Macaca fascicularis: one gene and its partners. The protein of the gene in region 4 interacts with the protein of the main gene of each other region in a biochemical or structural test. Links are inferred from orthologs where the notes say so. Each region holds a gene or a part of one and is shown on either strand. Other genes may lie near its edges.

The links.
Region 1: of the proteins of UBE2I (region 4) and PARP1, one has a biochemical effect on the other in vitro, tested with the Homo sapiens proteins (4 studies listed by BioGRID, with this or other methods). The link is inferred for Macaca fascicularis from reciprocal best matches to the Homo sapiens genes UBE2I and PARP1.
Region 2: of the proteins of UBE2I (region 4) and NFKBIA, one has a biochemical effect on the other in vitro, tested with the Homo sapiens proteins (2 studies listed by BioGRID). The link is inferred for Macaca fascicularis from reciprocal best matches to the Homo sapiens genes UBE2I and NFKBIA.
Region 3: of the proteins of UBE2I (region 4) and PPARG, one has a biochemical effect on the other in vitro, tested with the Homo sapiens proteins (2 studies listed by BioGRID). The link is inferred for Macaca fascicularis from reciprocal best matches to the Homo sapiens genes UBE2I and PPARG.
Region 5: of the proteins of UBE2I (region 4) and DAXX, one has a biochemical effect on the other in vitro, tested with the Homo sapiens proteins (5 studies listed by BioGRID and IntAct, with this or other methods). The link is inferred for Macaca fascicularis from reciprocal best matches to the Homo sapiens genes UBE2I and DAXX.
Region 6: the proteins of UBE2I (region 4) and ZNF451 form a complex in vitro, tested with the Homo sapiens proteins (2 studies listed by BioGRID and IntAct, with this or other methods). The link is inferred for Macaca fascicularis from reciprocal best matches to the Homo sapiens genes UBE2I and ZNF451.
Region 7: of the proteins of UBE2I (region 4) and TRPS1, one has a biochemical effect on the other in vitro, tested with the Homo sapiens proteins (2 studies listed by BioGRID). The link is inferred for Macaca fascicularis from reciprocal best matches to the Homo sapiens genes UBE2I and TRPS1.

What each region holds. Positions count from the first base shown.
Region 1 is NC_088375.1:84,321,944-84,326,035, forward strand, and holds the start of PARP1 (poly [ADP-ribose] polymerase 1), read right to left. Parts: upstream 2,801-4,092; 5' UTR 2,633-2,800; coding exon 2,513-2,632; intron 1-2,512. UniProt on the Homo sapiens protein: Poly-ADP-ribosyltransferase that mediates poly-ADP-ribosylation of proteins and plays a key role in DNA repair.
Region 2 is NC_088381.1:103,221,237-103,225,297, forward strand, and holds the start of NFKBIA (NF-kappa-B inhibitor alpha), read right to left. Parts: upstream 2,801-4,061; 5' UTR 2,696-2,800; coding exon 2,469-2,695; intron 1,850-2,468; coding exon 1,741-1,849; intron 1,414-1,740; coding exon 1,203-1,413; intron 913-1,202; coding exon 824-912; intron 717-823; coding exon 447-716; intron 75-446; coding exon 27-74; 3' UTR 1-26. UniProt on the Homo sapiens protein: Inhibits the activity of dimeric NF-kappa-B/REL complexes by trapping REL (RELA/p65 and NFKB1/p50) dimers in the cytoplasm by masking their nuclear localization signals.
Region 3 is NC_088376.1:150,655,337-150,658,836, reverse strand, and holds part of PPARG (peroxisome proliferator-activated receptor gamma), read right to left. Parts: intron 2,852-3,500; exon of another isoform or gene 2,768-2,851; intron 308-2,767; coding exon 80-307; intron 1-79. UniProt on the Homo sapiens protein: Nuclear receptor that binds peroxisome proliferators such as hypolipidemic drugs and fatty acids.
Region 4 is NC_088394.1:2,054,668-2,058,666, forward strand, and holds the start of UBE2I (SUMO-conjugating enzyme UBC9), read left to right. Parts: upstream 1-1,199; 5' UTR 1,200-1,473; intron 1,474-1,690; exon of another isoform or gene 1,691-1,828; intron 1,829-3,999. UniProt on the Homo sapiens protein: Accepts the ubiquitin-like proteins SUMO1, SUMO2, SUMO3, SUMO4 and SUMO1P1/SUMO5 from the UBLE1A-UBLE1B E1 complex and catalyzes their covalent attachment to other proteins with the help of an E3 ligase such as RANBP2, CBX4 and ZNF451.
Region 5 is NC_088378.1:138,379,486-138,383,706, reverse strand, and holds the start of DAXX (death domain-associated protein 6), read right to left. Parts: upstream 2,801-4,221; 5' UTR 2,756-2,800; coding exon 2,703-2,755; intron 1,835-2,702; exon of another isoform or gene 1,782-1,834; coding exon of another isoform or gene 1,765-1,781; coding exon 1,575-1,764; intron 1,425-1,574; coding exon 593-1,424; intron 449-592; coding exon 240-448; intron 85-239; coding exon 1-84. UniProt on the Homo sapiens protein: Transcription corepressor known to repress transcriptional potential of several sumoylated transcription factors. Down-regulates basal and activated transcription.
Region 6 is NC_088378.1:114,567,704-114,571,203, forward strand, and holds part of ZNF451 (E3 SUMO-protein ligase ZNF451), read right to left. Parts: intron 2,612-3,500; coding exon 2,481-2,611; intron 985-2,480; coding exon 798-984; intron 1-797. UniProt on the Homo sapiens protein: E3 SUMO-protein ligase; has a preference for SUMO2 and SUMO3 and facilitates UBE2I/UBC9-mediated sumoylation of target proteins. Plays a role in protein SUMO2 modification in response to stress caused by DNA damage and by proteasome inhibitors (in vitro).
Region 7 is NC_088382.1:125,223,009-125,226,508, forward strand, and holds part of TRPS1 (zinc finger transcription factor Trps1), read right to left. Parts: intron 1,863-3,500; coding exon 733-1,862; intron 1-732. UniProt on the Homo sapiens protein: Transcriptional repressor. Binds specifically to GATA sequences and represses expression of GATA-regulated genes at selected sites and stages in vertebrate development. Regulates chondrocyte proliferation and differentiation.

The DNA of each region.
Region 1 (4,092 bases), on a different chromosome or scaffold from region 4:
TTTTCAGACAGGGTCTGGGTCTGTCGCCCAGGCTGGAGTACAGTGGCATTATCTCGGTTCGCTGCAACCTCCACCTCCCAGGCTCAAGCAATCTTCCAGCTTCAGCCTCCAGAGTAGCTGGGACATAAAGGCATGAACCACCACGCCCCGCTAATCACTGCATTTTTTTTGTAGAGATGAGGTTTCAGCATGTTGGCCAGGTTGGTCTTGAACCGCTGAGCTTAAGTGATCTGCCCACCCAAGCATCCCAAAGCGCTGAGATTACAAGCGTGTGCCACCGAGCCTGGCCCCAGAATGTTAAACTTGATCAGGTTCAGCTTCCTCCATCCTGCCTCCCCAACAGCTAACTAAGCCTCCTCTAACTTCCTCCACAGCGGTGTTGTTCTAGCCTCAACACACTGCCTGAACTTGGGTTTTCTGTCTTTCCACTAGAACACGGTACTCTGCCCACCTGTTACGGCCCGTGGATGTCCCTTTCTCGGAATAACATTTAAAAATGCATAATAAAAAGGCTCGCAAATGGTCAGTCATGGTGGCTCACGCCTGTAATCCTAGCACTTTACAGGGCTAAGGTGGGTGGATCACTTGAGCTGAGGAGTTTGAGACCAGCCTGGGCAACATAGTGAGACCCCATCTCAAAAAACAAAACAAAAAAGTTCAAAAAGGAAACATACTCAAATAATTATCAAAACATTTGAAAGGTAATTTGCGTACAGTAACCCGTGAGCTTCAAAGTTTTAAATAACAAGATCTAGTACTGCCTCTAACAACTGTGATTTTTATAGCAATGAGAGTAAATTATATTTTGAGAAACTCCCAACTGTAAAGTGAAAATATCTGTAATTACCGCTGGTGAAAAAAATCATAGGGACTGCTAATATGCCTTTGCTTTGCTGCTTACATTTATGATTAGAGGAAATAATGAATTTTATCTATAGGTTAGTGGAGATGGAGATATCAATTTTTTCTTATCTAAACCCATGGACCTCTTGCATTCTATCTACCATCCTACGGACCCTGGGGTTAAGAGCTCCTGCACCAGGAGTGAGAACTTCATTAGAACAGGCTGCCTTATATATTTAAGGTAAGTTCTAGGTTCCTTAGTGGGAAACACGGCTCTTCAAATTGTAGGCCCTGTCTACTTCCCTATCCTCATCTTTCTGCTCCACTTCTGTGAATTAACGACTCCTAATCAACCTTCCACCCTAAGGTGGGTCATCTTGGACTCCTAGGCACACAATGCCTGGAGCACAGTTCCATCAGGTGGCATCCATCCCCTCTGTACGGCAATGTTTGTTTACCAGTCAATTCCCGTTTAACCAAACTGGAAATTCCCAAAGGTGGATTCTGTGTCCTTAAAACCTAACAGAGTGCTTAGAACTTAACAAATATCTACCAAATAAGCACTGTGTGCCACGTACTGACTTAGGTATGCCCCAAGGACACCGAGATGACAGACATATTGTGAAATAAGATAACGGAAGTACACCTGGCACTTGGGTATCCACTCGGTAAATGTCGCCCTCCCTTGTACTCTTTAAGTCCTGAAAATCCACTGAGGGCTATCTGGTCATTCCTAAAACACATTACAGCTCATGGTAGGGAGGAAAATCAAGCTACCTTGACCATGAGCACTAAGCTTGGGTAATGTGTTGGAAGCGAGGAGGAACAGGGCAGGTGAGAACCAGAATTATTCATACAAAGGCAGACATCAGCAAACTGGAAGCTGGAGGCAGGAGCCCCTGGGAAATGACAGGGGCCTTCAAGCCCACCACCTCACAGAAGCCTCAGGAAATCTCAAAAGGGGATCGATCCTCAATCTATCAAAAAGCCCACATGAGAAACCCCCCTGGAGCCACTCTTACTCAAACCAGACAGCTGCAAGTGCACCGAGAACGCGTCTGTGAACCTGGAAAATTTGGGGAAAATGTTATTTTAAAGCACAGATTAGGCTCAAAGTGAATGCACTGTACAGAAATGACACCTCTCTGCATAGTTTTGCCTAATTAAAATGAAAAATGAGGGTGAGCGTTAAAATGACGTGTTGAAATGACGGCCAAAAATAGGTTAAAAAAAAAAAATCCCCACATGCCAGTCGCCACCATCCACGTAGGACAAAAATCTTCCAGAACAAGATAGGTCAAAATCAGATTAGCTTAAAGAGACCATGTACAATTCCCCCCCACCCCCAATCCCTGAGGCGAACGGCAATAATAAAACACCACCACCAAGAAAGGAGGAGAGAAGCGGCTTCTCGTTTACACAAAGCGAAAGGCAGCACCAGCTGCAGACTGTATTTCCCGGGCTTTTCCTGCAACATCAGCAAAACCTTCCGGAAGGGTCGGCCGGGCCGCTCGGCGGAGGAGAGGCGGCCACGGCCCCACAGGCCCTAAGTGCCGTTCCGAGAGCCCAGGTCCGCTCGCTCCCCGGGCCCGCACTCCCCGAGCCTTCCCGGACACAGTTAACCCGGGGCGCCGCGTACCCGCCCCGCCGCCCGCACAGCGGCCCGCACCTGCACCATGATGGCCATCCGGAGCGAGTCCTTGGGGATGCTCTCGCTGCATTTCTTGCAAGAGGCGCGCCCGCTCTTGGCGTACTCGACTCGGTAGAGCTTATCCGAAGACTCCGCCATCTCCCCTAGCTGCAGCCAAAGCTCCGGGAGCCCGACGCCACGACCTGGAAACACGCCGCCGCCTCGCCGCCTAGCCGCCCCGCGTGCGCTCACCCAGCCGCAGGCGCCTGAGCGTCCAGAGCCGCCACCGAGCACACCGCACCGGCCACCGCGGTTCCCCGATAGATTGCTGATGCCTGGCAGCGGAAACGCCCACGGAGCCCACGTCCACGGGGCGGGGCCTGCGGCGCTCGCGCCCCCTGCCGGCCGGGGGGCGGAGTTTCCCGGGCTCCTGCGGGTGGAGCTCTACGGCCCGCTACCCTGTGGGCCGAGGCGGGGCTTGGACTGAGCTAGTAGCTCTTTGGAGGACCCGGCGCCACCCCTTTGATCGTTCTGTCCCAGGAAGTCTTACCTGTTTTCATAACTAATTATACCCCCAACCCCTCCACCTTTTATTTTTGAGACTGAGTCTCACTGCGCTGGAGTGCAGCGGCGCGATCATGGCTCACTGCAGTCTGGAACTCCTGAGCCCAGCGATCCTCCCACCTCAGCCTCCCAAGTAGCTGGGACTACAGGCGTGCACCACCACAACTGGCTAATAAAAAAAAAAAATTGTTTTTTTAGGGATAGAGTCTCGCCAAGTTGGCTAGACTGGTCTCAAACTCCTGGCTATAAGTGATCTTCGAGCCTCAGCCTTCTAAAGTGCTGGGGTCACAGGAGTGAACTACCAAGCCAGCCCCAAACTCTTTTTATAAGTGTGTCCTCTCTCCCCTGAGGGCAGCTGGGTCCGGGAATAGCAGGCCCCCCTAGGGAATATAGTTGATCGGCCCTAGGTGGACCCTGCAGTGTTAGGTCAACCCCCCTGGCTTGGACGGGCATTCCAACCTGCCATCCATACACCGTCGGGACAAAATACCAACTGAAACCTAGCATTTCCTTTATTATGAATTTGACTACAAATCCCAGGAGTATTAGAAGTACCTGTGACTTTGTGGGCAATAGTCATCACAGATGTTTTCATGTTACTTTACAGTTATTTTGGTGATAACTCAAAATATTATTAAGCTCATCACTACTCAAAATTGTGGTAATGACTAGACCTGTTGCTACCAGATATTTTCTCTCTCTCTCTCTCTCTCTGTGTGTGTGTATAAAGAAAGAGATGGGGCATCTCTCCATGTTGCCCAGGCTGGTCTTGAACCCCTGGCCTCAAGCAATCCTCCTACCTTGGCCTCCCAAAGTGCTGGGATTACAGGGATGAGCCACTGCAGCTGGCCTAGATCATGTTGTTTAATATGGAACTATACTTTAAAATACAGTTGATTAAAATTGGTTTCTTTTCTAATCCTATGCTTTTTTTTTTTTTTCATTTCAAAGATTGTAACATGAGTGTGCTGCATTTGAAAATATTCAATTCTGGTGTAGAGGATAAGAAAAATAAGTGGATGAATAAAACTCATAAAAAGTGTTAACCATAGAGA
Region 2 (4,061 bases), on a different chromosome or scaffold from region 4:
TCCATGTTCTTTCAGCCCCTTTGCGCTCATAATGTCAGACGCTGGCCTCCAAACACACAGTCGTCATAGGGCAGCTGAAAACAAGGGGAAAGAAGACACATTAAACTTCCGAAGCTCTGCCAAGCCACTGGGATGGGGAGGCCGCTACTGGAAATAACCCTTGGACTCCATTCTCCATAGCCCAAATACAATGAACTTTACAGGCTGAGGGAGTTTGCCTTTAACTCCCATTTTAAAAATGTTTTAAAAAATGCTTTTCTTTAAAAAAGGGTAAGCTATTTAAAAAAAAAAAAAAAAGGTACATTATTGGGATACTGGTTATGCACAGAAATTTGAGAGACTCATTATGTAGATACCCCTCTGATAAGGAGCAGTTCTAGGGGCCCGGGAGGGTGAAGGGAATGGTCCCTCATTAGTTAGAGAGCCCAAGGAGTTCACAGACTCACCTCATCCTCCGTGAACTCCGTGAACTCTGACTCTGTGTCATAGCTCTCCTCATCCTCACTCTCCGGCAGCATCTGAAGGTTTTCCAGTGTCAGCTGGCCCAGCTGCTGCTGTATCCGGGTGCTTGGGCGGCCCCAGGTGAGCTGGTAGGGAGAATAGCCCTGGTAGGTAACTCTGTTGACATCAGCCCCACACTTCAACAGGAGCGACACCAGGTCAGGATTCTGCAGGTCCACTGCGAGGTGAAGGGCAGTCCGGCCGTTACAGGGCTCCTGAAACCAAAAGGAATTTGAGATGCTTATGGCTGCGTTTGGAATTTCTGCTCACAACATGAGCACGAGGAACTTGACTCAGTGCATCGGAGGCAGGAAGCACTAACCTGAGCATTGACATCAGCACCCAAGGACACCAAAAGCTCCACAATGCCCAGGTAGCCATGGATAGAGGCTAAGTGCAGACACGTGTGGCCTGGAAGAACAAAACGAAAAAAGTATAACCACCTGTTTCAACCCTCACTCCTTTCACCTATTCTTTTATGGGACAAATAGTCATATCTTCTGAATTTTAAGAACCCACCGTTTGGGTTCTGAAAGAACTTTATAAAGGCATCCAACAGGCACTTTGCACACATATTTTCTCAACCTTTCAAATGCTGGCAGTTTAAGTTCTTGCCTCGACTCCTTAAGTTGGCCCACCTGCCCCTTCTCCACATCACCTGCCACCTGAGGGGGTGGGGCAGGGCAGGGAGGCAGACATACCATTGTAGTTGGTAGCCTTCAGGATGGAGTGGAGGTGCGGGGTGGTGCAGGACTGAGTCAGGACTCCCACGCTGGCCAAGCAGCCCTGCTCACAGGCAAGGTGTAGGGGGGTATTTCCTCGAAAGTCTCGGAGCTCAGGATCACAGCCAGCTCCCAGAAGTGCCTCAGCAATTTCTGGCTGGTTGGTGATCACAGCCAAGTGGAGTGGAGTCTACGAATGCAGGAGAGACCAGAGAAAGTAAGCCAGGGACCAAACCCACACCCTGAGTTCCCCTGAACCCGTGTCTCCTGGTTGGGTGCTGCTCCTCCTAGACAGGCGGGTGGGGAGGACTGGCAAATAGCAGAGACTCCAGGTGGGTCACAAAGACCTCACCAAATCAGTGGAATTTCCTTCACTCTCTAGGATGTGGGCTGACGTGAAGTAAAAGGTGAGGGTGAATAATGCCCTGTGGCCCTGAATTCAGAAAGGATCTGGGGTGACTTTGCTACATCAGTTCCATCCCAGAGTTAGAGAGCCCGGGCCAGGCAAGCGGCGCACCTGCTGCAGGTTGTTCTGGAAGTTGAGGAAGGCCAGGTCTCCCTTCACCTGGCGGATCACTTCCATGGTCAGTGCCTTTTCTTCATGGATGATGGCCAAGTGCAGAAACCTGTGGGGAAGAGAGGGAAAAACCCCAGGGGTGGTGAGTGCACCGCGTGGGGCCCAGGGAGGCGCGGGCTGCGGGGGATTGCGCAAGGCCGGGGTTTCTGGAGGCCGAGGCCGCGGTGTTTTCCGCGAGGTTATTATGAGCTGAGTGTTCCTGGCAGGCGCCCAGGGACTTTCCGCCCCCCTCCCCCCGCGGCCCCGGCGGGCGCCGGCCAGACCGCCCCGCCCTCCCGCCAGCTCGGAACGCCCTGTACTTCCCCTCCCGGCTGCTCGGCGCCCGCCAGCGGCCAGAAACTCCCGCCCCGCCTTATGCAACCGGGGACTTCGCGTCCCAGCTGCCGCCCCGCCCCCGGCCTAGAGGACAGGCCTGGGGGGAGGGGGCGTGTGGCGACGCTGCCGTCCACCAGGGCCCAGCCGCCGCCCCTCCGAGTCGGGCCGGTGCCCCGCGCGGCCCTGCAGCCCTGCAGCGTTCGGGGCGGTGCAGGAGCCCCGGGGCGCCGCGGCGCCAGCCCGGCTGCATCGCTAGTTCCCCAGCTCGGGCTCCAGGCCCGGCGCCTCCCACTCCCCGGCCGCGCGCATCCGGCCCTCCCGAGGACCCCCGGCTCCGGGTCTGCGCCACTTACGAGTCCCCGTCCTCGGTGAGCTGCTGCTTCCAGGGCTCCGCGCCGCGCGGCACCTCCTGCGGCTCGAGGCGGATCTCCTGCAGCTCCTTGACCATCTGCTCGTACTCCTCATCCTTCATGGAGTCCAGACCGCTGTCGTGGCGGTCGTCCAGCAGTCGTTCCTTCTTCAGCCCGTCGCGGGGACCCTCCATGGCCCACTCCTGGGGGCGCTCGGCCGCCTGGAACATGGCGCGGGCGAGCTGCGGGCGCTGCTGCGGGTGCGCTGGGCCGCGGGCTGCGCGCTGCTTCCTCGCTGGGGCGCTGGCGGGCGGGACGGCGGCACGGGCTGGTGTGGGCTCTGCAGCGCCGCCGCGGCGCCCTATAAACGCTGGCTGGGGATTTCTCTGGGGCGGGGTCAGGCGCGGGGAATTTCCAAGCCAGTCAGACCAGAAAAGAGAACTGGCTTCGTCCTTTGCTAGGGGGAAAAAGAAGCCTAAACCCTGAGCTGGGGTTCGTCGGAGAAACTCCCTGCGATGAGCCACTGGGGTCACGGACAGGGAACTTTTTGATGAGTGCCAAGTGGCTGGAAAGTCCTTCCGACCAGGCCCCCTTCCCCGCGGTACTTCCCTGCAGCCTGCACCCTGTAATCCTGTCTCTCTGCAAGTGAACCTTCTTTCCCTGGGGTTTCCCACGATCGATTTGAATTGGGGTCGTCGGCGGCTGAGATCCCAAGGACGCCGACCTGATGGGCGGTCCCTCTTTGGGGTTTGCCAACCTGCCGGTCCTTTCCGTTTTTTGATCTTTTGAAAACGCAAGAGTGGAAATGATGGCTGGGCGTAGGGATTTGCTTTCCCCAGACTTCTAAGGGGAAGGACGCACTGTGGTTATGGGGCTGCAGGCTGCTCTTGTGTTTCTGCTAATATCAGGCTCATTGCAGCACGGGGACGTTTAGCTTCGCGCCCTTCCTCCCCTACCCCCCACGCACCTCTGCCAGGTAGAACTGTGAAAGCTTTGGAGGAGTGGAAAGCCTAAATCCTTGGAAAACTCTCAAATCACTTCCAATCACTTCCTAGGGATGAACAGCCTTGTTGAGTGGGGGAGGGGCAAACTCTCCCTGTATGGGGAAACTGCTGAATAGGACCATGATTTTTTTTTTTTCCCCCAAGTAAAGCAAGGTGTTAATCTTTGTAGTGGTGGTTGTGGATACCTTGCAATAACAGAGTAGCTATTGTGTTCATAAGTAGCTGTTGCATTCATGCTATCTGACCTACATTGTGCTGCCGCAGAGAATGGATCCTGAGCCTACTTCTGGGCATCTAAACTGAGCAATTCGAGGAGCACTTAGAGAAGGAGGCTGAAGAATGAGTTTAGTTAGTGCCTTAACCGCGATTGGACCTTAAGGACCGCTAAGAAAGTAGTTGCCAGTCATCCTGCAGGAGGCTCAAGGCAGCCCCATCCTCCCATCCTGCCCACCCCGCCTTGCTCCCTCGTCCTGGGGGATAGTAGCAGTTGGACCCATTCATGCCACCCAGGTAGAAAGGGGTTTTGGCTCACTATGCTCTGATTTCACCTGCAGAAATGTAATTTATGCTCTCCATCCCACCTCCACCTCCA
Region 3 (3,500 bases), on a different chromosome or scaffold from region 4:
CACTATTTACTACAGGGTTACTGAGAGATAAGTCCAATTCCAGTCTTAGTAGTCTGAAAAGTGAAAATAAACATCATACTTTGGTACTCTTGAAGTTTCAGGTCATACTTATAATCCGCAACCATCGGATCTGTTCTTGTGAATGGAATGTCTTCATAATGTGGAGCAGAAATGCTGGAGAAGTCAACAGTAGTGAAGGGCTTGATGTCAAAGGAGTGGGAGTGGTCGTCCATTACGGAGAGATCCACGGAGCTGATCCCAAAGTTGGTGGGCCAGAATGGCATCTCTGTGTCAACCATGGTAATTTCTGAAAGGAAAAGTAGACTAGCTGTGAAGTTAAGTCCCAGAGAACACAACAATCTCACAGAGTTTCAGAAAGAGAAATGAAAGAGTCTTTGGCAAAGTAATCTCATCTAGGCTCTCACAACAAGAGAAAAGAACATAACCACCTTCTTAGTGCTGTCCAGGCTGTTTTATGATAGAAAGGAAGTCACCCTTTACCCAGGTATCATAATAAGAGAATCCTGAAACAGTGCAGACACATACAGTGTATCCATATAAACGCCTTGCCAACAGTCCTGCTCTCATTATCTTCTACAGAAGGTCATCAATTGAGTCTGTTAATGACTGCTGTTATTTAAAATTTTGTTCAGTTTTACTGAAGTATAATAGACAAAAATTTTTAAACTTAAGGTATACAGGCCAGGCACAGTGGCTCACACCTGTAATCCCAGCACTTTGGGAGGTCAAGGCAGGAGGATCACCTGAGGTCAGGAGTTCCAGACCAGCCTGGCCAACATGGCGAAACCTCATCTCTACTAAAAATACAAAAATTGGCCGGGTGTGGTAGCATGCCTGTAATCCCAGCTACTCGGGAGACTGAGACAGGAGAATCACTTGAACCTGGGAGGCAGAGGTGGCAGTGAGGTGAGATCACACCACTGCACTCCAGCCTAGGAGGCAGAGCAAGACTCCATCTCAAGAAAACCCCAAACCCAACCAAACCAAACCAAAACAAAAAACAAAAAACAACACACACCCACAAAAACTTAAGGTATTCAATGTGATGTTTTAATACATGTATTTACTATGAAATGATTTATCATACTCAAGATCACTTCAGACAGTTACCTTTTTGAGTATGAATATGTACAGTGAGAACACTTAAGATCTACTGTCTTAGCAAATTTCAAATATACCATACAGCATCACCAACTACAGTCACCACGCTGAAGGTGACCTATACTTAGGTCTCCAGCACTTATCCTGCATAACTGAAACTCTGGCTGACATCTCCCCATTGCTCTCGCCCTCCAGCCCCTGGCAAACACCATTTTACTCTCTGCTTTCATGAGTTCGACTTTTTTAGATTCCACGTGTTAAGTGAGATCATGTGGTATTTGTCTTTCTGTGTCAAACACTACCCAGTTTAATTATCTTAGCATAATGTCCTCTAGGTTCATCTCTGTTGTTGCAAATGACAGGATTTCCTTCTTTTTTTAAGGTTGAATAATATTCTACTGTGTGTGTACATATATATCTTTATGTGTATATACGTATGTGTGTGTATATATATTATATATGCATATATATACTGTGTTTTCAAAAATCCATTCATCCATTGACACTTAGGCTGATTTCACATCTTGGCTATTGCAAATAATGCTGTAGTGAACATGGGAGAGCAGACAGCTCTTCAACATCCTGATTCCATTTCACTTGGATATATACCCAGAAGTAGGATTGCTGGATCATATGCTAGTTCTATTTTTAATTTTTTGAGGCAGTCCATTCTGTTTTCCATAATGACTATACCAATTTATGTTCCTGTGAACAGTGTGCAAGGGTTCCCTCTTATCCACATCCTTGCCAACACTTCTTACCGTCTGTGTTTTTGATAACACCCATTCTAATGGGTGTGAGATGATATCTCACTGTTTTTGATTTGCATTTCCCTGATGATTAGTGATGGTGAGTACCTTTTCATATATCTGTTGGCCACTTGTATGTCTTCTTTCTAGAAATGGATATTCAGGTCCTTCATCATTTTTTTAACTGGGTTATTTGTTTTCTTGCTATTGAGTTTGTTGAGTTTCTTATATATTTTGGAATATTAACTCCATATCAGATGTACGATTTGCAATCCATAACTCCATATCAGATGTACAGATTTCCCTATTCTGTAGGCTGACTTTTCACTTTATTGATTATTTCCTTTGCTGTGAAGAAGTTTCTAGTTTGATGCAATCTATTAATGATTGTTTTTAAAGTGTGCACAGGGTTCCAGGACAATTTTACTCTCTTGAAAGTAGAAGCCCAAAATATTTTTCTCTTTAGGATGAAATTTTTCCTATTCTACTTGTATTCATATGCTTTTGTGTAATAGAAAAGTTGGCAAATTAAATATAGGTAAATGAACTTCTTCTTTACTTGCATCCTAAAATAATTTTGTTCTTAATAATACAAAAATAAAAAAATTTTAAGGGGAAAATTACTCAATTATTATTTCTGTACTATAAAATATTACTCAAATAATTATCTTTTCTGTGGATACACCTTTTCTTAAAGAGGAGAAAGTTTTCCCCACATTGAGAATAGAAAGGTTAGAGAGATTTGTGGAAACATTTGATCACACCTGGGAGTGTCAAAATCAGACTCTAGCCCAGCATGGATTTTAAACCACCCCCAAAACAAAAACAAAACAAAACAGAGACAGAAACAAGAAAACACATCAAAGACAAAGGAAAGGCCGGGCGTGGTGGCTCACGCTTGTAATCCCAGCACTTTGGGAGGCCGAGGTGGGTGGATCACGAGGTCAGGAGATCGACACCATGGTGAAACCCAGTCTCTACTAAAAAAAAAAAAAAAAAAAAAAAATTAGCCAGGTGTGGTGGTGGGCGCTTGTAGTCCCAGCTACTCGGAGAGGCTGAGGCAGGAGAATGGCGTGAACCATGAACCTGGGAGACGGAGCTTGCAGTGAGCGGAGATTGCGCCACTGTACTCCAGCCTGGGTGACAGAGCGAGACTCCGTCTCAAAAAAAAAAAAAAACAAAAAAAACAAAGGAAAAATACTTATACAGATTCTAAGGCCATGGAATAGCAAGTTTCATGAATCATCTGCCCAATATCATATATGCCACATGCATTTTTCTAAACATGATTTATTGTCACAGTAAGTGCAACAAAACTCTTTTGGTTCACTTCATGTGAACTTGTGAGCCACCGAGTGTGTAGACTGGAAAACTTTCTGCAATAGGTACCTGGACTCTGTTTACCTGAAACCAGTTCATTATTCAAAGTGGTACCAAAAAGCAGTGATAAGTATTTTAAATGTTAACCCTGTGGTCAAAAACACCAGTAGAGAGCTGTGTAAATTTAGGACTGCTCACACTGGAGACAGAAAGGAGCTGCTCATAAACTCCAGGACTCCTCAAATCACAGGTGTATCTTTCTTGTTTGCAGTCATATCCCCATTGGCTAACAAAGGGCTTGTTTCATAG
Region 4 (3,999 bases):
AGTGAAGGAGGGAGGGAATGAGTGAGTGAGGGAGGGAATGAGTGAAGGAGGGAGGAAATGAGTGAGGGAGGGAATGAGTGAGGAAGGGAATGAATGAGTGAGGGAGGGAATGAGGGAGGGAGGGAATGAGGGAGGGAGGGAGGGAATGAGTGAAGGAGGGAGGGAATGAGTGAAGGAGGGAGGGAATGAGTGAGGGAGGGAGGGAATGAGTGAGGGAGGGAATGAATGAGTGAGGGAGGGAATGAATGAGTGAGGGAGGGAATGAGGGAGGGAGGGAATGAATGAGTGAGGGAGGGAATGAGTAAGGGAGAGAAGGAACGAATGAACGAGGGAGGAAATGAGTGAGGGAGGGAATGAGTGAGGGAGGGAATGAATGAGTGAGGGAGGGAATGAGGGAGGGAGGAATGAATGAGTGAGGGAGGGAATGAGTAAGGGAGAGAAGGAACAAATGAATGAGGGAGGAAATGAGTGAGGGAGGGAAGGAATGAATGATGGAGGGAATGAGGGAGGGTGGGAATTAATGAAGGAGGGAATGAGTGAGGGAGAGAAGGAATGAATGAAGCAGTAAGGGAGGGAATGAGTGCGAAAGGGAATGAGGGCGGGAATGAATGAGGGCGGGAATGAATGAGGGTGGGAATGAGTGAGGGAGGGAAGGAATGATTGAGTGATGGAGGGATTGAATGAATGAGTCAGGCAGGGAATGAGGGAGAGAGGGAATGAGTGAGTGGGGGAGGGAATGAATGAATGAGGGAGGGAATGAATGAATGTGGTCAGTCCCCGCGGTCCCCAAGCACCCGGACACCGTGACCTTGGCGGCGGCCCCGCCGTCGGCGAAATGGGGGGCGGGGGGACCGGGAGAGCCCCGGGGCCAGCACGACCGCGCGTTGGCGAACGGAGTATCCCGCGCGCTCGCGGGGCTGGGGGCCTCTCGACCGGTCTCGGGAGTTGCGTGGGCGGGGGGTGGGGGGCTGTTGCCCGGAAGCGCCCCTCCCCCAAGGGCTCGCCCCGCCCCCGCCGCTCGTAGTCTCCCCACGCCCCGCCCCCGCCCAGGGCCCGCCCCCGGATTAGGGAGCATCCACACTTCTCCTCCCGTCGGTCATGCTCGCTTTCGGCCTTTTGTACGGGGTCGGCTCATTGGGCAGATGAGAAGGTCTCTCCGCCCACCGCCCAGAAATGGCCAATTGCAAGAGGTTTCACAGGGCGCTGAACTCGCGGGAGCGTCACCGTCCTGCGACGCTTCTGGGAATCCTTAGGCCTCAGTGGTCTTTGCCCCCCGGCCCCAGGCTCTGACCCCAAGGAAACCTCGGAGACCTGTGCCTGGAGAGGTGACCGCCGGGCATCCGGGGAGCTTTTGGAGATCTCGGCCTCCTTTATCCCCCGCTGCTCGCCGGCGTGTCCTCGGGTGGACGCGGGCACCCCGAAGGGGAGTTTACAGACGCTCCCTCACATCGGGGACGCGGCTCCTTTAAGGGCGTAGGTGTCCAGGGCGCCGCCTGACTGAAAAGTCACCCCCCCGGCCGGGCTCCTGGGGCGGACCCGGGGCGCGGGCGCGCGGCGGCGGGGCACGGGCAGCGGGGGGCGCGCGGCGGCGCGGGCGGTGCTCGGGGCCGGGCGGCGGTGGCAGCGCGCGAGGCAGGCGTGCAGAGGGCAGCCCTGCACCAGGCCCCGCCCCGCGCGCCCCGCCCGCGCCAGGGTCCTCGGAGCTGCTCGGGCTGCGCGCGGAGCGGGCTCCGGAGGGAAGTCCCGAGACAAAGGGAAGCGCCGCCGCCGCCGCCCCGCTCGGTCTTCCACCTGTCCGCGACGCTCGCCGGGGCCGCGGCCGCCCGAGGTGAGCGCGGGCGGGGGCCGGGCCGGGGCCGCGGGGCGGGGGTCGGGCCGAGGCCTCTACTCCTGTCGGGCCCGGGCCCCCGGCTGCCCCGCGCCCCGCCCCGCCGAGCCGGGCCCCGCGCCGCGGCCGAGCTTCCCGGGGAGCCCGAGAGGCCCCACGCTCGGCGCCGGTTCGGTCCGCGCTGCTGGCGCCGCGGGGCTGCGGCCCGAGCGCCCCGGCCGCCGCAGGCCTTGGGGGCCGGGGCTCCCCCACTTCGCCCCCGAGGTGCTCCTGGCGCGGGGCCGGGGCAGCCACCTGCAGCCGGGGCCCCGCGAGGCCGCGCCTTCCTTCTGCGCGGGGAGCGGCTTCCGGGGTCACTGTCGCCCCGCGGACGGAGGGGATGGGTCGCGGGGGAGACTCTTGGATTGCAACACCGCTGGCTCGCGGGGGTGGGGGCCGGCGAGCGGGCTTGTTTTCGGTGCCTTGAAACCAAAACAAGTCTTAAGTTTTCCTGCGCCTCTGAAGATGCTGCCCTGGCGCTTGCTGGGGCCCTGAACGTGAGCGCCTCGCTGGAGGGAGTTTTATTGTTTTGGGGATGGGTTTTTACCGGTTGAATAGTGGTTGGCTCTGGTAGTTAACGTGCGTGGGAGGAAGGTAAGGGAGTGATTAGCTGGGCTTGTGATCGTGGCCTGTAGTCACGCTTGAATCGCAGAATGAAGTGGTTTCGTTTTTATAATTGGAAGTTACGCTTTGTTTCTCTGTTTGCAAAGTGCCTGTCTTTGGGGAGTTCGGTTTGTTTCCTTTTATAGGACCTACGCCGAATGTTTTTTGAAGAACAAGAAACATTGCGTTTGGGTAGAGAAGCTGCGCAGCGGAAGACAGGACGGGACCTGAGTTTGTCCTGATTGCTCCTTCAGAGGTCCCTTCCCTAGACCACTGGGTGGTTGAAGGTGTGCGCTTGTGTGATGTGTCAGGGTTTGGGATCTTGCTTCAGAAACATTCTGGGGGCCTGGGGCAGATCAGGTGCGGCCAGGTGAGCGTCTCCTGACTGCAGGTGCCTGGGTCTTGCAGAAGGGAATACCTCCCCAAGCCTGGGAGAGTTTGCGTTTGGGTGCAGGAGGACCTTTACAGGCTTCTTGTGCCAGCCGTCGTGGCGACCACCCGTTGTGGAGATGAGTGCGGTGGAGTTGTGAGAGGTGAGTGCTTTGCTCACCTTCAGCCAGGAAGTTGCTCGGAAGTCGGTGCTGTCAACCAGCAGAGCAAGGTGGTGATCCGAGAAGCTAAAGCTCAGCCGGTCGCGGGTGCCCAGCAGGACAGAAGGCAGACCTTCAGGCCACTCCTGGAGTGCTTGGCCCTGTCCTGGTTGCTGCAGTGTCTGGGCCTTGCTTGGCTCTGATAGATGAGGGTTGTTTTTGTCTTTGCCTCATATAAGTTCCCTGCTCTGAAGGGTCTAGTAACTGCTAGCCATTCACTTAGTGCTTATCTGTTAATTTGGAAGGGCAAATTCGATTTTCAGCGGGATTTTGAATGCTTCGTCTGTGTTGTGATTACATTGTAACACATTGGCCACTTTCTCCAGGAGGCCAGTAGGAGGGGGAGCAGGGGGAGGGGCCTGGCTTCTGCCTAGGACAGGGTGGGTGTGCACCTGTGGCTCCTTGCCCTGTGGTGCAGTTTCCTGTGAGACCACCCCGTGGTGCTGAGTGCTTTGGGGCAGGGGATACAGCAGCATCAGCCAGACCTTGGCGGGAGGTCTCACAGGAGCACCCTCACGACTTCTCACATCTGAGACAGCAATAGCTAGGTGCTGGGACGGGGGCCTCTAGGTGGCTCTGTCCGGTCTTCAGTAGGAGGGCTACCTGTGGCAGGGTCCCAGGCCTGGCTGGCCTCTCTGGGGCTGGCCTCTCTGGGGCCTGGCCTTGCCTGGCTGTGAGGATCGTGTTGGCCATGGTCCTTCAGTGTCTGGAGCACTGGCCTGGGGCTTCAGAGACCTGCTTGATTCCTGGCCCCGCTCAGACCCCGGGCACCTGGGAGGTCGTGGCTCCTCAAAACGGCCGTTCACCAGGCTGCTTTGCACCGCACCAGGCACAGGCTGTGGCTACTCATGAAGCCCACCCTGGGGCTGGGGAAGCGAGAGCTGTGAGTCCTCAAGCCACAACTGAGCTGCTCCATGTGGAAGTGGAGGGTGGAGACAC
Region 5 (4,221 bases), on a different chromosome or scaffold from region 4:
CTCATCACTCTCTTCATCTTCTTCGTCATCTGTCTCAGCTTTGGAGGCAGAAGGGCACCCCTGGGATGCCATTCCACTAGGGCCCTGGGGGACAAAGAAGTTTCTCTAAGGAATCCCTTGCCCTAGAGGGTTTGGTTCTTGCATTCCTTCTCATGCTCCCCCATCAGTCAACCTGGACTCCCTGGTGGCCAGTGCAGGGGAAGGACAATGTCTCTCTGAAGGCTTTACCCCATCCACACCTCACCAGAATCCAAGGAGGCGGGGGTGTCTTCAGAGTGGGAAGAGGTGCCTTGGAGCCGAGCTCTTCTCTTTTTTCTCTCGCCCTCCTCACTTTTGTCTTGCAACATTGCATATTTGGAGATGACCTCATCCAGCCGACTCATGGCCAAACTCCGGTTTTCCCGAAGGCGCCGGGCCAACACAGGATCTGATAGTGCAGGGTCAATGCCTACGTGGGAAAATATAAAGTCAGAGCACTCAGCCGTGGAAGGGACTAGAAGAGTACAAACCCTAGAAAGGACTAGAGAGATGCCCCATCCGCCTCATACCTGACATATAAGGGTCACTGAGAGGCATCCCACTAACCCCCTACCTGGCCTATAGTCATCTGTGAGGTGGCAGCCAAAGTTGTAGATGAGATCGAGGTGACGTCGTTCCTGTAACCTGATGCCCACATCTCGGAAGGCATCCTGAGCCATGAGCTGGAGCTGCTGTCGGGGGAGGCCAAGGCTGTGTCGGGCAGCTGCCTTCTCTACTGCCCGAAGCACATCCCCATAGTCAGGGAAGGTATCAGGCCCTGGCTTGTTGATGAGCCGCTCAATGCGCCTGTTAACCTCTGGGTAGCGGGTGCCACGGTAGGTGATGCGCTGCTCTATGACACGGCCGGTCAGTGAAGAGCAGTCTTTCAGCTCACATAGTCGCCCAAAGAGGCGGATCAGCTTACGCTTCAACCGTGCCTCCTGCAGGTATGTGGAGTCTGGGTCATCCAATTCTGAGAGATCCAACTCCTTTTCCTGCAGCCGCCGGATCTCTGCCACATAGAGCGCCAGCAGCTGCTCCAAGCGCTGGATCTGCCGCCGGGAACCACGGGTCCTTGGGGCCTGAGAGGCAGTGTTTTCAGCGTTTGTGGGGTCCAAGGAGAGGTGTGTGGGAGGGTTATTCCCAGAGGGCTCATTGGACGTGGTGGCAGCAGGGGCCAAGTTCAGCTTCTTTTTGGCTGAGTGGGCCTTGAGAACAGTGCAGAGCTCATTGATGTAGACATAGAGCTTAGATGGCCGGCTCTGGGCCCGAGATAGGACCCGAGAGAGGATGTTGCAGAACTCCGCCGAGGCCAAAAACAGAGAGTGGGCACGTTGCTGCCGGTTAGAGAGGAATGGGACCACCTCAGGGTGGTCCGCTGTCTGCGTCTTACAAAGTTCAAGGAACTAGAAGGTTCAGGGGAAGAAGGAAGGGGAAGAGAGACAAGGGAGGGGGTTGAGAGAAAGGGGAGTGGGGTTAGTGGGGAAGAAAGGACAGGAGAGCCAGTCAGCCATCCCCCTCCCTGGGGTACAACGATCTTCCCCGCTAAAGCTCACCTCTTGGAACAGCTTCTCATTCTCCAGCTTGTAGCACTTCTTGCCGCCCGAACTACTGCTTCCTCTGGCCCCATGAGGCTCAGAAGAGCTAGGGGCTTCTGCCCCTGGTGAGGCTGTACTGGGGAGTGGGTGGGAGGGCCCTGGCTGAGCAGCTGCTTCATCTTCGTCATCATCATCCAGCACAATGATGCTGTTAGCGGTGGCCATGGGGGAATCAAATCCCCCGGAAGGAGGAAGTGGTGGGGATTTCAGAATTCCTGCTGGAAGGGGATGGGGCCTCAGAATGAGCCCCTCCAGCATAGCCCCATCCCTTCACCTCACGCATTTTCTGAACTCCTTGGGTTTCAGCCCTGACCAACACTGTCTTCACCACCTGATTTCAATAACCATTAGTTCTATATGCTTTTCGGGCCCTTCAAGTGGTGTGTGGGGGGGGCAAACCCCCCCACACCTTAAGTTGCCACCTTCTGCTCCACCCCTCACGTCGATTTCCGGTCTTTCTGTTGCATTTCCCCACTCTTTCTCAGAGTTGGCAAGTTGGTTCTTTCTCCCACACTGCACCCTAAATCGTCCTGACACCCCCTGGCACAGACAACACACTCCTGTGGGCGCCACCTCATGTGTTTGCCCCCTCTGCCCTCAAACAAGTCAACCCCACACCCGCCCCATCCTGATCACCCCAACTCCTAGACTCTCTGAGGTGAAAGAGGTTCCCTCCCAACAGTCCGTTCTCTTTTCCCCTCCTTGAATTATCTCCGTATTTCACCCTCAGATGAGTCTCCTCAAACTGGGCCTTTAGGTTGAAGATATTTTACCCAAGTCCCCTCCCTTTCACCCCACCCTAATTTTCCCCATTCTCTCGGAGACCTGTAACTAATTAGAAGTCCCCCCGCACCGCGCTACGCTCTCCCGATTCCTCTTAGATCCCAACCCTGGGTCCGGCCGGTCCGGTAGATGCGCTTCCCGCCAAATCCCCCTCCCCCAGTTCAGCCCCCGGCCGCCCCACTCCCTTTCAGGGATAGGAAGGTACCACAGTTTTCCCCTCAGACTCAGAGCCCGGCTCTCCCCAATACCTCTGCCTCGATATCCCCGCCCCCGCCTCTGATCCCCGCACCATCCGGCCCCCACCTCAGAAACCGTCTCTCGAGGCGACCCTCGCCGCAGATCTCAGAACCTCGCATGGTTCCCTCCGCCTTCCTTCCCACTCCCACCGCAGGCCCCACTACGGACCGGAAGCAACAGAGTTTCCGCCTGCATGCAACTAAGCGCCGCCATATTGTCGTACGGAACAAGGCTTCCTGTGGCCGGAAGCGGCCGTAGGCCCGCCCCGCGAACACCTCCAGTGCCGCCCACATAGTCAGCGCGGTCTTCCAGGTCGGAGTTTGTCTCCCCGAACCCGGGCGTCCCAAAGCAGCTGGGGGCCGCCATTTTGCCGTACGGCGCTGGCTACGCCAGAACTTCGGTGCGCAGCCGGAGGAGCTCTTTTCACCCGGTGCTTCTCTGACTCCGCCAATCAGAAACTTCCTCCCTGGGGTCCAACCGCCGGCGAGTAGCGCGTGGGGAGAACGGAGCCTCCTTTCCAAGGAGGGGCAGGGGAACCGAACAGGGTGGTTTAGGAATTGGGCTTTCCAAAGCTGCGTAGGGTTTCAGGGAATGGCAGAAGTCTCTTAAAAGGGAAGTAAAACCTTTATCTTCAACTAGGCTATTGGCAAGCTATCTGGCCCTGCTTTCCTGTCCCCCAGGTTCCCATTTCCACGGCTTATTCGGCTGACCCAGCCCCTTCCCCTGCAAGGGCGGCGCGCTCCTTGCCGCTGTCCAGCAGCTGCTTCTACTGCCAGGTGCTGCGTCCCACAGTCGTTATAACACATGCGTACAAATAAGCACAATGCGCCATACAAAAGTGTTATTATTATTACTATTGTTGCTGATTTGCTTTTCAAGCTTCACCACAGAACTAATGACCAGACGGTTGGGACCTGAATGGTTCTCCTCCAGAGGGGGTCCTCGAAGGGCCGTCGGTGCTGACTGTGAGGCCGTGCTTTGTCGTGGAGGCCCAGGGTCTGCGGATGGGCGATGATGGGGTGGGGCTTGGAGGAGAGTTTGAGCCTCTGCAAGGGCTGCTGTGAAACGAAATGAGGCTCATAAAATACTTTGGGTTTCCTCCTCCTCTTCTGGGAGAGGTTAAAAAAGAATGAAGGATGAAGAAACAGACTTGATACCCACCTCGTTGAGTTTAGGGAGGTTGGAGGGAGTCGTGGAGGCAAGGCTGGGTCCAGAGGTGAGCTTATGAGGAAACCAGAAAGATTAACAAGGTCCCAATCGCAAAGATTCCCATTTCCACAAGTGGTGGGCATCTTGCCGCTTAACTAGGTTCACAGAATTTACTACATCCCTAACGCTGAGTCATAGAATCGCAAACACCCGTCCATTGAACAATCCCACATCACTTCTCTCCAGTCGTCAAAGTCTACAGCTTTCAAAATGGGGAACATAAAAAACCTCCGCGAGGACTGGAACTTGGGAGATGTAAGGGATTTAATTTCCAGAACCTCAACTTTCCCAAAATTGGTCTTCCTAAGGAAACACCTGCAGTACAGGTTCTCATTCTTCACTTCTCCTTTTACAATAGAGACACCCTCTTAAGAAA
Region 6 (3,500 bases), on a different chromosome or scaffold from region 4:
AAATGCCAAAAAGCCACTATTTTTCATTAAGGTAATTCATTAATATCTTCAAACCTTATTCATGAATTTAAATTATTAGCCTATTTAAACATTAATTATTCTATCCATATTTCTTCAGAGATTACGAAAAAGAGAGGTATAGCTCAGTGGTAGAACATTTGACTGCAGAAATTATGAAAAATGAAAAACAAAACTTCTGAATCCTTAGAATTACATCTTTTCTTATGTACTAGGAAGTGAAAATGGACATCAGCACTCCTTTCATTGAATAATCTCACAAAGGTACAGAAGAAAGTGCAAGGCCCAGCAATAAGATAGGATGTACCCACTTCTCTAAGGACCTAAAAGCCTAACAGCATTTCATTTTGTCACTGTCAACCTCCTAAATGATCGCCTTTTTTATTGCTTTCCTGTTTTCAACTGTAAACACACTGCTTTCTAAAAGACTGAAGGTCAATTTGGAATTTCAGGAACAAAGTGAAGATGTGAATTCTGAGCTCTTAAAATTGTAGTAACATACTATAACGCATGAATATATATTTTATATACATCAATAGAGATTTTATCTACTAGATCAAAAAAAGGCTCCAGAAAATTATTATGAATTCATCCTCCTCCTAAAACACTAAAGAATGAAAGTGAGATTTAAAAAAAAAAGAGAAGTAAGATAGAAGTAAGAGAACATGATGGTTTAGTAAGCAGGCAACAGTTCACTAGCGGACAGCAGTTTATTGGTTTCTCTCAGCAGTGAAGTCTCCTCCTCTTGGGTGGTTTGCACTGTGACTGCAGCTGCGTACCTTTGGTGGTATCAGATATGCTATTTAACAAGGCACACATCATATCTCCCTCTAAGTGGTGAGGGTTTAGTATATGAGCTGGCCTCTGAGTCTTCTTAAATTGATTCTCTAGCTCCAGAAAACCTTGATCTCCTGAGAGGATGGTGAAAGGAATTTGCTTGGGTAGTTGTTCATCTAGACGGCCAGCCTAAGTTAGAACAAATGGCACAGGTTGATAAAAAATCAGCACGAGTTTCAAAACAAGTTATATCTATTCACAATGAACACATACCTAGGAAGGTATATTAAGCTTGTTCCCTAATCCCTACCAAAGTATGACACAAAGATCTCCTTCGGCTGGGTGAGTGACTCACGCCTGTAATCCCAACACTTTGAGAGGCTGAGGCAGGTGGATCGCTTGAGGTCAGGAGTTCAAGACCAGCCTGGCCAACATGGTGAAACCCGGTCTCTATTACAAAATGCAAAAATTAGCTGAGTGTGGTGGCATGTGCTTATAATCCCAAGCTGGATTCTCCAGGCTGAGGCTGGAGAATCGTTTGAACTTGAGAGGTAGAAGTTGCAGCCGAGATTGCGCCACTGCCCTCCAGCCTGGGCGACAGAGTGAGACTCCGTCTCAAAAAGAAAAAAAAAAAAGAAACAGAGAGAAAGACTTCCTTCATAAATTAAATACCCCACATTTAATCAAATATAAGATGCTATTAAATTATATGATAAGCTATTTTATGTGCCATAAAAAGAAAAAGCCAAAATGGAAGTCCAACAGACTTCACATAAAGTTGGAATACCAATGGGCTATACACTCAATGTAAGGGTAAATAAGAAATAAATCTGTCATAGAGAAAAGGTAAGCAAGGCAATTTGCATGATTCAATCTTGGCACTAGATAGAGGGAAAAAGAAATCTTTTGTTGTTTAAACCATAAGCTGTAGTCAACAAGTTTGCCGAGTAAATTCACATTATCAGTGTGACATGTAAGTCCTCAAGCAAAAAATGTAAAGTGGGTCTCAGTTTGGCAGTTTCTCTAGGTACCTGGCAGAGGCAGAAGCAAATGTAAATTCTATCTAGGCCAACAGTGATTGTTAAGGTACCTCTTAATTTTAGAGATACTAAAATATGAAAATGTCTTAATATATATCAAATACAGTATCATCAGCGGGTGCAGTGGCTCACACCTGTAATCCCAGCACTTTGGGAGGCCTAGGCGGGCGGATCACTTCAGGCCAGGAGTTTGAGACTAGCCTGGCTAACAGGGAGAAACCCCATCTACTGAAAATACAAATATTAGCCGAGCATGGTGGTATGCTCCTGTAGTCCCAGCTACTTGGGAGGCTGAGGCACAACAATCGTTAGAGCCCAGGGGGCTGAGGTTGCAGTGAGCTGAGATTGCGCCACTGTACTCCAGCCTGGGCAACAGAGCGACACTGTCTTAAAACCAAAAAACAGTATCATCTCTTGATCATTTATCCCACAAATAGTTGAGTATCTACCATGGATAGCTGAAGGTTTGCTAGAAGTTGAGGATAAAGCAATAAAAATATGCTATGGGGTCCTGCCTTCATAATAGTCACAGGTAGAACCTGAAGTACTGAAGAATGGTCTATAACTCTCATTACAATTCAAGTGGGAAAAAAATGCAAGTGGGTGTGAGATTCACATTAGATTTTGAATAAAACAATGACTCACATGCATACATATGGCAAAATCAGCAGCATCTTTTCTTTTACTACAGCGAGGATGAAGGAAGAAGCATCCAATCCTGTTCAGGTAATTATAAATTTTACAGTTGAGTGGAGGCTTCCAATTGGTGTTTCCTCCTATTAATTTCAGAAAAAGCAAAAATGATAATCAAACAGGAGAGGAAAGGCCAAAAATTTTATCAAGAAAAAACATATACTAGAAAAAAAATTTTCTAGAGGCAAAGTACTAAATCAGAATGTGGAAGAACTCCATCCGAGCATAAGCATCAACATCTTGTTGCTGTACAGTCTTGAGAAAGTGGACTAAATTCCCTGAATCTGTCAACTCATCTTAAAACTCACATGGATATTAAGCAAAATCAAAAGTAATGTGTGCAAAAATTCTTTGAATGGCATTATTCTGTAAGTGTAAGCATAAGTGGTTTTTACAAATGTCATCACTGTTCAATGCAGAAATGATGGGCAATCACCAAAGCTCAACTTACTAAAGCAATTATACTGGCTAACTTATCCAGGTCAGCATGTTTCTATCTTTAATCCCAATCTTTCTCTTTACATGCTATTTTCTATCAAACACGAACAACAGCAGATGCTCACTATACTAATCCTCTGTAAACCAAAGAAGCCTCTCCCCCAGGTTTGGTCAACAATTTGTAAAGAGGTTTAGATGAAGCTGAACACTTAAGAACAGCAGGATGAACCGAAGAGGCAGTTATGACATGTTGAAAATGACATTAGTCCTGTAGTTGAAAGGCCAAATTTCAAAAGCTAACTCTGCTATTTATTAGTTTTAAAACTTTGAGGGAAAAAAACAAAAACAAAAACAAAACATCTGCTTCTCTGTATTTTAAAAGGGATAAAACCATAATAATCAGTAACCATATTAGTACAAAGCCATAGTGCCTGACACACTTTAGGTGTTGAATAAAGGCTTTTTCAATCAGTATCAAAAGATCCATGAACTGTTTCTTTTTTTTTTTTTTTTTTTTGAGACGGAGTCTCGCTC
Region 7 (3,500 bases), on a different chromosome or scaffold from region 4:
ACATATCCTATACTTATCTCTAGATATTATAAAAGATTAACTGGGAAAGTTAATGTTTATAAAGAGAATAGAGTGAAAGCAGAAGGAAAACACAAACATCCCACATCCATTTAAGAATCTGGAATAACTCAAGCAGTTTTACCTACTTGGAGGAGCAAGTCTACATCCAAAATCACACATATTACAAAAATTCTCACCTTTAGATTACTGTTTATATGCCAAACAAGGATGCTGCAGAATTGTTCAAAGCTAGAAGAATATATAATCTCATTTTAAAATAAAAATGAGCAACAGGTTCTCAAAATTTTTTCTCAGAATAGAGAATAGGATATATTACAATAGTAACTTTCATTTGGGAGTTGCCCTGTCAAAGAAATATAGGATGTGGAGTCATATTTAGTAAGGACAAATAAATGGACTATGATAAATTAGTAAACTCATCAGCATTATTAGAATCACTGTGAATTTAAAAAGACAATCAGTAAATGGTATAAAACAAGTATCAAACATGAGCATACAGTCCAAAAGAAGGAACCAAATTAAAGTCTACAGTGATCACAGCTATAACTATACCACCTGCAAATCTGTGATGATCTTTTATGTGGTCTTCTCCTATAACTTCCCCAAGTCATCGGAATCACTCCCAACAATTCCTGGTTCAGCCCTCTTTCTGTGGATTTTTTCTATTATTTTATTTGTATATTCCTCCTGACCTACCCCCCTTTGACTCACCTGTAGTGTCGGGAAATCTCTTCTTCCACCTGGGTAATAAAATCACATTTGGTACATGAGTGTTCTTTGCTTTCCTTGACAGCCTGCTGCCCATCCGATCCTTGCAGGTGATTCGCTTCTTGTTTGACATCTGATGCTTGGGACTCATGCACACCCTCATAGTGAAAGAGGAGTACATCTACGTCAGGGGTGGTGAATGAACACTGATGGCACTGATGCTTGACTCGTGAGCTTCCGGCTGCCCCAGGAGACAAGTGCAGAAGCAAGAGTGCACAGTGGGAACAATTACTTTTTCTACAAGCAAACGGATAAGTAATTTCTCCAAGGTGCTTTTCTGGGCTGCAAAGTCCTCTGGGACAGAATGGACAGTGTTTAATGGTACACTTGTGAATGTTATGGAGCTGTTGATAATGACGGAGAAGAGGCCCCACTACAATTACATCAGGGCCATGGCTTTTGGAATATCGGAAGTCACAGAACTGACAATTATAGCTCGTTACCATATTATCCTCGGCTCCCTTGCTGGAGAAGTCCTTCTTTTTAGCCCCACTCGAGCTCTTGTCTGCCTTGCTCATTGTCTCTCCTTCTGAACTTTTGGCTAGATCATTCTGATTAATGACAGAGCCCCTGGAAAGCTTATCATTCAACTCTGGATTAAGGCCGCCTGACTGCACTGCTCCGTGCTGCTTGCCATAATGTTCTAGCAGTTTAAGTGAGCTAGATGACTCACAGCTGAAACTACAAAATTTACACCAGTAGTAACTGGTGGCCTCTGTACCATTTTGTCTCGAGGAATCGAGGGGCTTGATGGGCACTGAGTACCCAACAGGAGTGTCATCTCCTGCTTTGACTGTTATCTTGTCCTGCCATTTTCCCAAGTCTCCAGAATCACTGGATCGAAGTGCCGGGATGGACTTGTTAGAGTTTTTCTCTGAAGGTTTTGCAACCTCAGAGGAGGGGAGAGAAGCTTTTATTTTGTTTGGGTGAGTCTGAAGAAAATGTTGTTCTAATTCGGTGGACGAGTTGCCCATATAAGTGAAATTGCAGAATTTACAGCGGAAATACTTGGTGTTTCCTTGGCAATCTGGTGTTTTCCGTCCAATGCCAATGAATGTTCCACCTGAAGTCACCTGGAGAAAAGAAGAAATGGACTTTACTTCTGAGGTGTCTTTAATTCAATGGGTCCTCTGCAGGGGAGGGGGAGGGTACTGCCAAGTATTCCACATCAAAAAATACAATAGTACTCCTGCTTATTATGAAATCACTTGAATAATCACAGAGCCAAATAAATTCACTCTTCATTTCTCAACAGTTACTCTTTGAGAGGCTCATTATGTTATACACTGTAGGCCAAAGTAACAGGTGAGGGTAAGTAATAAATGTACCATAATTTGAAAGACTGAATAATACATTTTTTAAACTAAGAAAACAATTTTCAACACAGTACGTTTTACTATTGCCTCCTTCAAATCACACTCCTACAGAAGCATCCTAATCACATGGGATTTCTTTTCAAAAGGTGAGGCGTTACTGTCAAAACTAGAGGCACTTGCTCAAAAAGTACTCAAGGCAGATATTCTCCAATGAAATATTCTGTTCAGTTCCTACAGCAATGAGGCTGCAGGCAAAGATGAGGTCTCTGTTTTAGGTAAAATACAGGTGCTCAAATGACCACCCAAAATGGCTTATAATTAAAGCTCAGTGAAACAAACAAACAAAAAGATGAATTGAGTATGCAGGAAATACTAGTGAAGAAGAACCATGTAAATAAAGAATTTTGAATGTTTCCCAATCTAGAACAAACAAACAAAAAAGAAAAATCTTCCAGGGCCTTATTTGATTACGGTTCTGTTTCATTGCAAAGGGCTCCCAACTTCTCACATGAGTAGGTCATGGAGATGTTTGAATGGCAAAATGAAATAATTCCACCATAAAAATAACTACAGCTCTGCTTTCTTTCCCAAATTATGAAATTACATGGAATCAGGACTATGAAAGCCTTCAAAGGGCACTTTACGTAAAATCCTTCCTCCATTCTCAGTGTGTATCTCAACAGGAGTACAATTAAGCCACCACTGAGCAGCCAAAATTCAGAGTTTAAAATAGAGTTTTTGAATGAAATACTCCAAAAAGGGGGGAAAAAATTCTCTTCCAACCACCAAGGAATTTTTAAATTTTCCCAGCAACCAGATGTAATATATTAAGCAAGTGGCATAATCATGTTCTGCCTTCTTCAACAGCTGTTCAAAAATGACACGTGTGATTGCTGTTCATATCCAAATCACTCCATGAGAAAAGTCTCAGGCATCTCAAAATCATGTAAAGGCTCTATTTGAAATGCAAATAGTATTGCTGTAGTACACTGAGAGATATGTTTGTACCTCTATTGTACAGGACTAAGATTGAAGTATTCTTTTTGCTATTAAAAAGAGATGTGACCGTGATCAAGTTACTTAACCTCTCTGGCCAATAGCTTCTTCAACTGGGGCAACCTCTAAATTCATATCCAGTATTATAGTTCTAAGAAATGTGCATTAATACATAAACAACTCAACGTTTACTGTACATTAAGATAGGAACTTACAAAAGTTTCCCACAGCCTTTAATCAAAGGATGTAATGTTTCGCATTAGGCAATGTCTATAGCCACCACCCCAATCGCATAGATTTCAGTCTGTCGATGACAGAGTATCAACCAGCCAGAAAGCTAAGAATGGGGCACCCTTCCAGGCAGCAAACCGACAATCATTCAATGGTGTGAGAGATTTC